Arabidopsis thaliana: one gene and its partners. The protein of the gene in region 1 interacts with the protein of each later gene in a pairwise test. Each region holds a gene or a part of one and is shown on either strand. Other genes may lie near its edges.

Region 1 (3,760 bases):
TTATGTGGGTGATAAAAGAATAACAAAACATATATTCGGCAATTCTACTGAGACTAACAATGTAAAGATCAATCATCAAACAGTTGACTAGAAGAAATAAGTAACGAATAAGTACAAAATATATAGATCCTAAAATATTATAAGAACAGCAATAATATATAGTTTCCGTACAGATTATAAAACACGAGCAAAACTAATCCGGTAAACATAACAAAGCTTATATATTTTTTATTTTTTTTTGTTTTGTTTTGTTTTGTCTCATCTCTAAACCCTACGTCAAACTCACAATGACAAAACATATATATCTCGTTCTTACATTCCCATGCATCACTCATAGATAAAAATTAATAAATTGTATCACCCAAATGGCGAGTTTCTTCCTTGTATTAATCCACCATTAGGGTTCATCATAGGACTCAATGGTGATCTCCTAGGCGATGGCCTTTCCAGTAATTTCCCACCATTATTCCCTTCATCACCTGATAAACCTGATTTCCTTTCGTAGATCTCCGACAAAGAATCCAAATCCGTGGAGACATGTGTAGCCATCTGTATCTGAATTCTATGCTCATCATCGATCGATTGGTTTGCGGAAAGATCGTGATCTTGATCAGACCACATCAATAGTCCTTTCCTTACATCGTTACCAAAATTAGGATTAGGTCGCTTCTTCCCCAAGTAAATGTTGGTGTCTGCAGCATTGTTACCCGTGAAATGGTTCTCTATGTTTTGATGATGGAAGTTGTGATGGTCGAGGACTTGGTCGGTTGTGTTTCCATAGATGTTTAGGTCTTGAAACGGCGGGAAACTAAGAGGATGAGGAGGTGGGCCCACCGCTGCTGAAAGACTCGAACTTCCCAGATTACCCTTGTATCCTCCTCCGACGGCGGCTGCTGCGGTGGCGGCTGCCATGTTCTCACCGGCTAGGGTTTGGCAAGCTCTCTCCAAGATAGATTGCATGTACTTTCCTTGTGCTTCAATCCTCAGTTGCAGATGTCTTTGCACCTATAAAAATTGAATGAAATCATTTACTATATTTATGGGATACAAATTGATTTTGTACAAGCAGTTATCATAGAATATCTATAGGTTAATTAATTACCTCTAGCTGTTCATGCAACCTTCTCTGCACTTCCATTTGCATCCTGATCAAACCAACCTGGTGTGAGTTGCTGTAATATATATTAAAATGAAAGTTGAGAAAATTAACGAAATCTGATTAAAATATTACTCATTCATGTTGCGACTCATCATGCCAGAAGAAGAAGCTACGTTGCGCTGAATATCCATGGCAGAAGCTACACGTACGGTAAAAAAAATTAGAAGAAGACGGATCAAAGAACATATATATACATTAATACATATCTATATTATGGGTAACTTTTTTATAAAAACCCTAATTTGATAGAGAAAGGAAGAGTGGTCACCTCTTGAACCTTCCTTTGTGGAGTGATCTCCGTACTCCTTGTGCGGCTGCTTTCCAAGCCTGAATTTCTGCACCCATAGATCCAAATAAGTTGTTAGATTATTATATTATATTATTAAGTGAAAAAAAGAATAGAAAAGATAAAGAGGAGAGAAAATTAAAAGCAAGGAAGAAAAAAACCCTAATCTATATTTGTGTACATACCTGAAGATGGCTCTTTAGGTGGTAAAGAGTAAGACCCTTCACACCCATAACTCTCATAATCGTCTTTGGGGTCGCTTCTGCAAATAGAAATGATCAAAAACTTTGAAAAAACACATTTATAATTGGTTAAATGGATTGAATATATATTTGTGTATGTGTGTTCATACTGTCGGGGCCGCCGAGCTGAGCGACGGCGTCCACAAAACGCTCGTGGAGTTCGACGGTCCAACGCAAACGCGGTTTAGGGTCGGTGGTGAGGACAAGGCCTGAATCGCCTTGAACGCACATAGCTCTGTTCTCATATGAACCATTCATACTTGAAGGTTTCTTAGCATGGAACATTCTCTCTCTCTCTCTCTCTGACTCTCTTTCTCTCTCTGAAAGAGGGGATTCAAGAAACGAATGTGATGCAAAAATGTGAGAGAATACGATGCGTTTTTGAAGAGATCAGATGACGGCTTTTTTTTCTCTCTCTCGTCTTTTTTGTTTTGTTTGTAAATAAATTATGGTTTAGTTAAATATGTTTTATCGTTAGTAAGGAAGAGAACTAAAGTTTCAGACTAGTACACAGACGTTCCTTTGTGAAAAGATACTGTCGCTATCTTTTTCATTTGTGTTTTTTATCCTCTTAGCTTGAATACCTTTGAATTTCTTTCAATATAAAATGTGTGTAAAAGCCACTATACGTATACATTAAGTAAATCATGTCTGTCTCAGATTATTAAATTACTGCGCAAACTTAAAATAATAGTATATATTAGATATTAAATTGATATCTTTGGGGGAAATTGAATTTTGAACATCGGAGATCTCATATCAAAACGGTTATGGATGTGACGACGAAAAAAACAAAAAAAAAAGACGAAAAAAAGCGGTTACGGATGTATCTAATATATATGCATGATTTGTTGCATGATGGTTTTTATTTCTTTATTTCCTGATATAAACATTAAAATGACTTGAGATATCTAAGTTAAAATATAATTCACCTGAATCAAAGATATTGCACATCTATTATTCTTATATTTTTGGTTTCTTTTTCTTTACTACCTTATAATTTAGAAGTAATTTTTAAATCCAAATTTATCATACAATTGTTCTATATACTATTTTCTTAATCATGCTTGATTTGGAGTAAATAGTAATCAAAGATTTGTAAATATTTTCTTTATAGGAAAATATAAACTTTTAAAGTGAATATATTAAAGTTCTATGTATTCTATTCAATTAAGACCGCACGAGGAGAGTCGTATACTAGACTTATAGTTTGTCTACATCGTCATATATCGTAATTGGAGGCATACATACAAATATCTTAACGAAACAAATTCCACAAGGCTAGGGATTTTATCATTTATGGTAGGGTAAACCTTTTTGGCTAATTATGAGGTGAATATACAATTCTAAGCAATGATGAGCTTCGTTATAAATTAATAGACCGTATATTTTTGGAACAAATTTATTATATACATGCAATCCAAAACCGTTAGGTACGGTGGAATATTTGTCTACGACAAAAACGTTTTCCATTCATCGATTAGTAAAAGATGTAGTTTACATCCGCAATTAACTAGCTAGCAAAAGAAAAAAGAAACAAAAAGGTGAACAAACGAGATAATTAACTAAATTACTTGTATGGACACTACAAACCAGAAAATCAACTTTGTTAATATTGCCCTATTAGCTACTAAACTAGCTTATGTATAGAACGACGATGCATTTTTCAATATACAAACTAAAATCATATATAATTCATATACGCAACGATTTAGATTAACCCCTAAATTCAATTGCATGCATGTAAAATAAATGGTCAACCTAAATATATATGAGTGGGAGGTCCCATAGCATATTTACATAGAACAAGAATAAGTCAATGAATATGGCTGAGGCTGATATGCACACACAAAAAAGAGAGAATATTATCTAAGAATAAAATTTGAATTGAATCAGAAATTTATTAGAGGTTATATATTAAGTATTAATTAAGGGAAAGCATGTACATGTTAAAATGTAGACCAATACCAGTCAATGAATATTGAATTAAAACAAAAAAATTAACATAAGAATATGGAACAATTTTTTAAAGTTATACATATTATAAACACGGACTATTAATATGTGGAGAAT
Region 2 (3,760 bases), on another chromosome or scaffold:
AAAACTAATTCTTGTTGTTATTTACTTTTTACACAATGAATTTAACCAAATTGTAGAGAAATTACCTTATCTACTGCTTTTATGTTAATATAGTTCATAAGAAATCTGAAAAACACTATGCACCTAGTGCTGTATATTCAGAGACTGTTGTATGTTTTATGTAAAAACTGAAAGAGAGATGTGTAAGAAGTGGGTCACCAAAGTGAAGTGAGTGACATTTTGACGTGGAGACAAAGGTGCAGTGCAACACAAAAGAGAGGTTAGTCGAAAAGCCAGAGAGATTAAAACGTTGTTTTTTGCATATTTTTCTTTCCCACTCACTTTTTTTTATATAAAAAAACACATTTGCAAATTATCATTTATAAAAAGAAAATACTTTAACTATATCCTTCTTTATTTTCTGTTCAACCAAAATACTTTAAATATCCAACACAAACTCACATTTTAATTTTTGGTGATCGTTGCACTTAGTATGGTTGTTGCACACATTAGAAAAACTAAATTCTATAGGATTCAATTGTTCTAAAATTCTAATTATATATGTGAAAAGATGAAAAGCTGTCAGATTATATTTCCCTTACTGTATGTGTTACTATTAAAAACACTCCAGATTATTTTTTTTAAAAGCTTTGGAAATACTGTTTTATTTTTTTCATTTTTGGGTAATTTTTAAAAGCTAATTTTAAGATTGGTTGCTTCAATTGTGCAAGATCGATCCAATAACAGTTAAAAAGGCCCCACCAGCGATTCCTTTTCCGTGTCATATTTTAGAACTTACATGTATATTGGGCTGATCCATGGGCCCATCTGTCACCCTCATACAAACTATATATAAATTATAACACACACACAGTCTCATATATATATAACAAGTTGTCAATGAATAAATTGACAATACAATTTGAGATTATGTCTTACTTTAATTAATTATTTTATGGTGCGTCTATATTGTATCATGATGTTAATGTTTGGATATATATACAAACAAGTAATTTTCACATCAATTGCACTCTTCTTTTAATTTGTTTGGTAACCATGAAAATAAGACCATCTATTTATTTATCTATGAATGAATAATTAAGGAGGTAGGTGAGTCACTGAGAGTCAAGAGCAGTTTGTGATGGGAAAGAAGATACACATTACAGAGATCAACGGCAGAGATGAGGAACCCTACAGTATGATGACGTCATCGTTGACAGTGGTGGACCCCACCTCTCGGGTCCCTCGAAAAGAGCGGGATGAGAGATTTGTTTTCATTCATACACTTCTCAGTCTTCTGAATCTTCATCACTCTTAAACTTTAGGTTAATTTCATTTTTTGTAAACATATTTTACATCTATCTTAACCCAGATTTATATACGGTACGAATTTATTGAAAATATGGTATAGTTTGGAGGCATGAAAGAAGTAATATCAATATTGACAAGGAAAAGAGCGAGTTTATTTGTCTAGTGATGAAGAAGGACCCATAGCTTCGTCATATCCTCTCCTCCCACTGAGCGTTTCACTCACCAAAAAAGCTCTCTTTAATTTATTTTATCTTCTATTCCTTTATTTAGCAAACATTTTTTTAGTATTTGATTATAAAATCTGTTTAATTTTTGTTTTGGCGCGAGAGTGTGCGTCACGTGAACAAATTTACATTGTTATATCCCAAACGGAGACATTAATATGAACAACCTCGGCCATTATATGTCATATCGTCTTTAAAAAATGTTACACAACATTGTGAACTCAAATTCAGAAACTTGTTAGCGGATGAATCGATAATGACGAGTTCACAATGTAAAACTATGATAACATTCTCTTACACACAAAAACTAATGTGGGAGTAACTTGTACATATCTCTCTATTTCTTTCTTAGGAGACTAACAATTTGGAATTAGATCCAATGATTTCTATAATGTATGCATAAATATGTTATTGGTTAAGAGATGTGGTGTGTTTATATCGGTATTATTACCGTTACAAATATCATTGTCTTAAAAATAACAAAGAAAAATGTGTGGACCCACAATGAAATCAGACGGTCAGATTTTAATCAAACGTTGATCCACTTTCTAGGGCTGACCTTTCTTTCTTCTCCTCTCTTTACCTCTCTCTCTCTTCTAAAATCCAAAGCTTGAGATCCCGCCGTTTCTCTCTGGTCATCATCCTCTTCTTCAGTGACCGCAAATCTGCATGTTTGGCAGTGGTTTTTATAGACCGCCGGGAGGGTTAGATCTAGGCGTTAAGAATGGCTTACATGTGCACTGATAGTGGCAATCTAATGGCTATTGCTCAACAAGTCATCAAACAGAAGCAGCAACAAGAACAACAACAGCAGCAACATCATCAAGACCATCAGATTTTTGGTATTAATCCTTTGTCTCTTAACCCATGGCCCAATACTTCCCTCGGGTTTGGGCTTTCAGGTTCGGCTTTTCCCGACCCGTTTCAAGTTACCGGCGGCGGAGATTCCAACGATCCTGGCTTTCCTTTTCCTAACTTAGACCACCACCACGCCACAACCACCGGCGGTGGGTTCAGGTTATCTGATTTCGGCGGTGGAACCGGCGGCGGCGAGTTTGAGTCCGACGAGTGGATGGAGACTCTTATCAGCGGTGGAGACTCCGTTGCAGACGGTCCTGATTGTGACACCTGGCATGATAATCCCGATTACGTAATCTACGGTCCTGATCCATTCGATACTTACCCGAGTCGACTCAGTGTCCAACCGTCAGATCTAAACCGAGTCATTGACACGTCGAGTCCGCTTCCTCCGCCGACCTTGTGGCCTCCTTCTTCGCCATTATCGATTCCTCCGCTTACTCATGAGTCACCAACCAAAGAAGATCCAGAGACTAACGACTCCGAAGACGATGACTTCGACCTAGAACCACCTCTCCTCAAAGCTATATACGACTGTGCACGGATCTCAGACTCTGACCCTAACGAAGCTTCCAAGACGCTTCTTCAGATCCGAGAATCTGTATCGGAGCTAGGTGATCCGACGGAGCGAGTTGCATTTTACTTCACGGAAGCTCTCTCCAACAGACTGTCTCCTAATTCGCCGGCGACGTCGTCTTCTTCTTCATCTACGGAGGATTTAATCTTATCTTATAAAACCCTAAACGACGCTTGTCCTTACTCCAAATTCGCACATTTGACGGCGAATCAAGCGATTCTAGAAGCGACGGAGAAGTCGAACAAGATTCACATCGTCGATTTTGGAATCGTTCAAGGTATACAATGGCCTGCTCTTCTTCAAGCTCTAGCTACTCGTACTTCTGGTAAACCCACTCAAATCCGGGTCTCGGGTATACCCGCTCCATCTCTCGGTGAATCTCCGGAACCGTCGTTAATCGCCACCGGAAACCGCCTCCGTGATTTCGCCAAGGTTCTGGATCTGAATTTCGATTTCATCCCAATTCTCACTCCCATACATTTACTTAACGGGTCAAGTTTCCGGGTCGACCCGGATGAAGTACTGGCCGTGAATTTCATGCTCCAGCTCTACAAATTACTCGACGAGACGCCGACGATAGTTGACACCGCACTACGGCTCGCCAAATCGTTGAACCCGAGGGTCGTCACTCTCGGAGAATACGAAGTGAGCTTAAACCGGGTCGGTTTCGCTAACCGGGTAAAGAACGCGCTTCAATTCTATTCCGCGGTTTTCGAATCCCTTGAACCGAACTTGGGGCGTGATTCGGAGGAGAGAGTGAGAGTTGAGCGAGAGTTGTTCGGCCGGAGAATCTCGGGTTTGATTGGACCGG
Region 3 (3,760 bases), on another chromosome or scaffold:
TCGGAGCAGACGATGATCGTCGGAGATAGATGCTTCACGAAACGGAGGACCAAAGGGAGGTGCGAGAAGGACGCGGCGGAGATGTTAACGGCGACAGCTTCTTTCTCCGACGAGTTAGGCCACGAGATGGAGCCGAGGAGGTCTAAGCTCAAAACTTGGATGTCAAGGGAGATGTTGATCTCAGAGGCGAAGTGCTTGAGGTTGTCTTGAGTGAAGCCAAGTTCGAGCTGGTCGTGGTTCGCCGGAGAAGCGAAAACGGTGATCTTGAGGGAGAGAGGAGCGGCGTTGTCGCGGAGAACAAGCTCTTGCATGAGGGAAGCCCATTGGCCACCGTAGCCGATATCGAAGTCGATGATGTGGAGACGGTGGAAGCCATGGAAGGACTCTAAGAGGGCTTGGTTGGAGGTAAAGTTGGCGAACTGAAGAACGGGAGAGATCTCTGAGAAGGATTTGTAAGCAGCGATCTTGAAGATGAGGGAATAAGGGTTTAGGGTTTGGGAGACGTTGTGAAGGAGATTATTGAGAGCTTCTTTGAAGTAAAAAGCTGCTCTTTCTAATGGCTTCCCGACGGGAGAAGAGAGCTGTTGATTGAGCCGCGCCAATATCCCCTGAGCTAGACACGTGTCGCTCTCTATGACCTCTGCTGCCTTAACCAGCTGCTCTGTTATCCCCACGGGACCAGGGTTGAGCCGCTTTGCCGGCGGAGGTGTATGGTGGTGGTGGCCGTAGAAGATAGCCGCAGGATTCTGTGTGTAGTGGGTTTGACTTTGGTTGATCAGAAGACCGGAAACATGTGACGGCGGAACAGAGTGGTGGTCTAAACCGAAGCCGGTGTCGACGACTCCGAAACCGGGTGATGAGTAGTCAGAGTCGTGGAAGGTGGGAGATGTTTGGAGAATGCTGTTGAGTTCAAGAGAGGGATCTGTGGAATCTCCCATGATGAGTCCGAGAATGCTCTGTTCGTGGTCATGAGGAACTTGCTCCTCCCAATCACCCAACCCAATGGCTCCGCATTGCTCATCGGTGGTGGCGTCGCCGCCGCCTCCGACGGCGCTGTTTCCGCCGTGAGAGGAAGACACCGTGGAGGAAGAGGTTGGGCTTATGAGGGAGTCCAGAACAGAGGTAGGCTCCGCCGCGGGAACTTCTTCCTCTTCTTCTTCGCCGCCTCTTGCTTTGCGGTGGCTCAAAAGCGGAGACGACGGTGGTTGGGGGAAGGAAGACGAGAAAGAAGAGAAACAAGAAATCCCCTTCCCTTGAAACTCTTCAAAGGGTAAGGGCATTGCAGACGATAAAAAATAGTGTATTTGTCTTCTTGAAGCTCTTCTTCTTCTTCTTCTTCTTCGTTGTTGTGATGTGGTGTGGTGAGGTATATTGGATGCGTGCAAGATATTAAAGTGGCAAAGTGGGCTTCCTCCTTTCTTTTTCTCTCTTATTTCCGTTTCCTATCATTTTGCCTTTGTCATTAACTTAGCTGATTAAACAATTCATCAGCTTCTCTTACACAACATTTTGTTAATCTTTGCTTTCTAATCTTAACTATGTCTTCTATTACAACCCCACTCTTACATCACGCGCGTGGCTTGCAAACTCCTTTCAGTGACATGAACATGATGGTAAACAAAAATACTAAATGTTATGATATATTTTTAAATATTGTATTTGTCTTCTTGAATTACTAGAAACTATTAAAAAAAAAAAACATTTTCCCCATATTTTTGATGTTGTACTGTATATTTAGATGTCATAATACTTGCCCAAAAAAAAAAAAGGATGTCATAATATATTGGGAATGTTTTTGTTTTCTTATAATTTATTTTCATGATTAAAACTTTGTGGCTTGCAAACTATATTTGGGATATTGTTTTGTTTTGTTTTATCTCAAAGGTGCTGTCGTTATTTCCTTTTGTGTGATCTTTGTCCCCAATAGTTTGTTTTAGGGTTTGGACAAGCTTTTGGATCATCTTTATCAAATTAACCACTCAAATCACCCAATCCATTGTACGAGCTAAACCACATATTGCAGTGCTTATATTAATTTGTGTTTCCTTTTTTTTTTTTTTTTTGCTACGGACATAATCTAAATTTATAAATCTAAACAAAGTGGAAACAAAAACTATGTATATATTGGAGTTACATCAAAAATATCTGTTTTGTTTTTCTTGTTTTAACTTAACGAGATACGAATGATCGTCATTATCTGAAACATTCATGTACTACTTATAACAAAGAAGGAGTTATATATATATTTACGTGTATATAAAAACATACTTTCTTTGGTACATCTTTTCGTTTGAAGGAAAAAAGTGATTGAAGATCTGTGAATGATGTTTCTTCTGTGACAAGTTAAATGCACGAGAGATTGAGAAAGAACGAGTGGTAGTCCTTTATTGAGCAGACAATGGAAGTCACCAATCACCATATATATACATATATAAATATATCTACCAATGGAAAACCCTATAATAAATAAATGAATAAAGCAATCAGAAAAAACAACAAGAAAGAGAGGTGGGTAATTGATGAAGACAGATTAAAATCGGACCAATTTTGCAATGAATGGCGACAGTTTCATTATCATGTATTCATGATAATGAAAAAGCATTTACTTTTCTATGCAAACCAATTCATTAGTATAAACAATATCAAAGAAAAAAAAAAAAGTATAAACAATATCAGATTCTGAATCTATCTTTTATATGCGAATTATGACCGCACAAAAAAACACAGAGTTCAGTTTCTTGTATAGTAATTTTTAGTCCCATATTATAATACTTGTTAAGTACCATAAATATTTGATGATTATTGATAGTTAACTTACTTTATATAACAACAAAAAGTTAAAATGTTCATTTTTAAGATTTAATTAGTTTATATGTTCCCATGTGATTTGCTAACAACTACTTCTCACACTTTTCTTTCTTATACAAAATTATTATAAATCTTGAAATGATCGCGAAACTGTATTAATATTATTTCTTATTGACATACATAATACACCAACACATTTTCAAGTTTCATGATATATTAATATAATATTTGGTATATTGGAATACTAAATATATGTGTGTGTTAACTTCGTGAGGGTGAAGTAAGTTACGTGGTGAAAACATGTTCTTTTCTCTCGTCTCAAGGCACCCTTCATCACAAGCAACACACCCAACCCCACTCAATCGGATAGTTCGTATGATGAACAGAATCGTGCTTTGCCATAATTAGAGGAAGAAACAAGTCAGCTAAATATATTAATCTTGTCAAACAATAATTTATATTGAAGGATAACGTGTTAGAGTTTGTATGCATGTAACCATATATAAATGATTGCGTCGTTCATTTTGTATTAGATTTTAGGATGATGATTAGTTAGATTAGACAAAAATTGATCAATTATTATTAGGAGATCACATGGGACTGATAAGGATAAAGAAAAATAGAGAAGATTTCTTCATCTCATTAGAGCCAAAGTAATAATAATTATGATTAAAAAAAAAAAACCAAGATCGGCGGGAAGTAATTAACAATTACCACAATATAAAGTTGGTAAAGGAATTTCCTTATTTCTTTAATCATATACATTTCCTTAAACATAATCTAACTCTCATTTGATCATTGACAACACATTACTATGATTCGACAACAACAACAAAAAAAAAAAAAAAAATTACTATGATCGAATGACACTCCAAAATACAGAAGTCTCTTAGAGCATTTCTAACGGAGAAAGTCCCTCCATGGGTGATGCAACGCATCTTTGCTTTGTTCA

The links.
Region 2: the proteins of APL (region 1) and AT5G66770 interact in binary tests that used the Arabidopsis thaliana proteins (3 or more experiments, as listed by UniProt).
Region 3: the proteins of APL (region 1) and HAM3 interact in binary tests that used the Arabidopsis thaliana proteins (3 or more experiments, as listed by UniProt).

The regions. Positions count from the first base shown.
Region 1 is NC_003070.9:29,877,164-29,880,923, forward strand, and holds APL (Homeodomain-like superfamily protein), read right to left. Parts: upstream 2,117-3,760; 5' UTR 1,973-2,116; coding exon 1,798-1,972; exon of another isoform or gene 1,708-1,797; coding exon 1,631-1,707; intron 1,495-1,630; coding exon 1,428-1,494; intron 1,299-1,427; coding exon 1,232-1,298; intron 1,146-1,231; coding exon 1,103-1,145; intron 1,006-1,102; coding exon 358-1,005; 3' UTR 65-357; downstream 1-64. UniProt on the Arabidopsis thaliana protein: Transcription factor required for phloem identity. Has a dual role both in promoting phloem differentiation and in repressing xylem differentiation during vascular development. Regulates the expression of the transcription factor NAC045 (AC A4VCM0).
Region 2 is NC_003076.8:26,658,485-26,662,244, forward strand, and holds the start of AT5G66770 (GRAS family transcription factor), read left to right. Parts: upstream 1-1,826; 5' UTR 1,827-2,238; coding exon 2,239-3,760. UniProt on the Arabidopsis thaliana protein: Probable transcription factor involved in plant development.
Region 3 is NC_003075.7:57,826-61,585, forward strand, and holds the start of HAM3 (GRAS family transcription factor), read right to left. Parts: upstream 1,671-3,760; 5' UTR 1,281-1,670; coding exon 1-1,280. UniProt on the Arabidopsis thaliana protein: Probable transcription factor involved in plant development.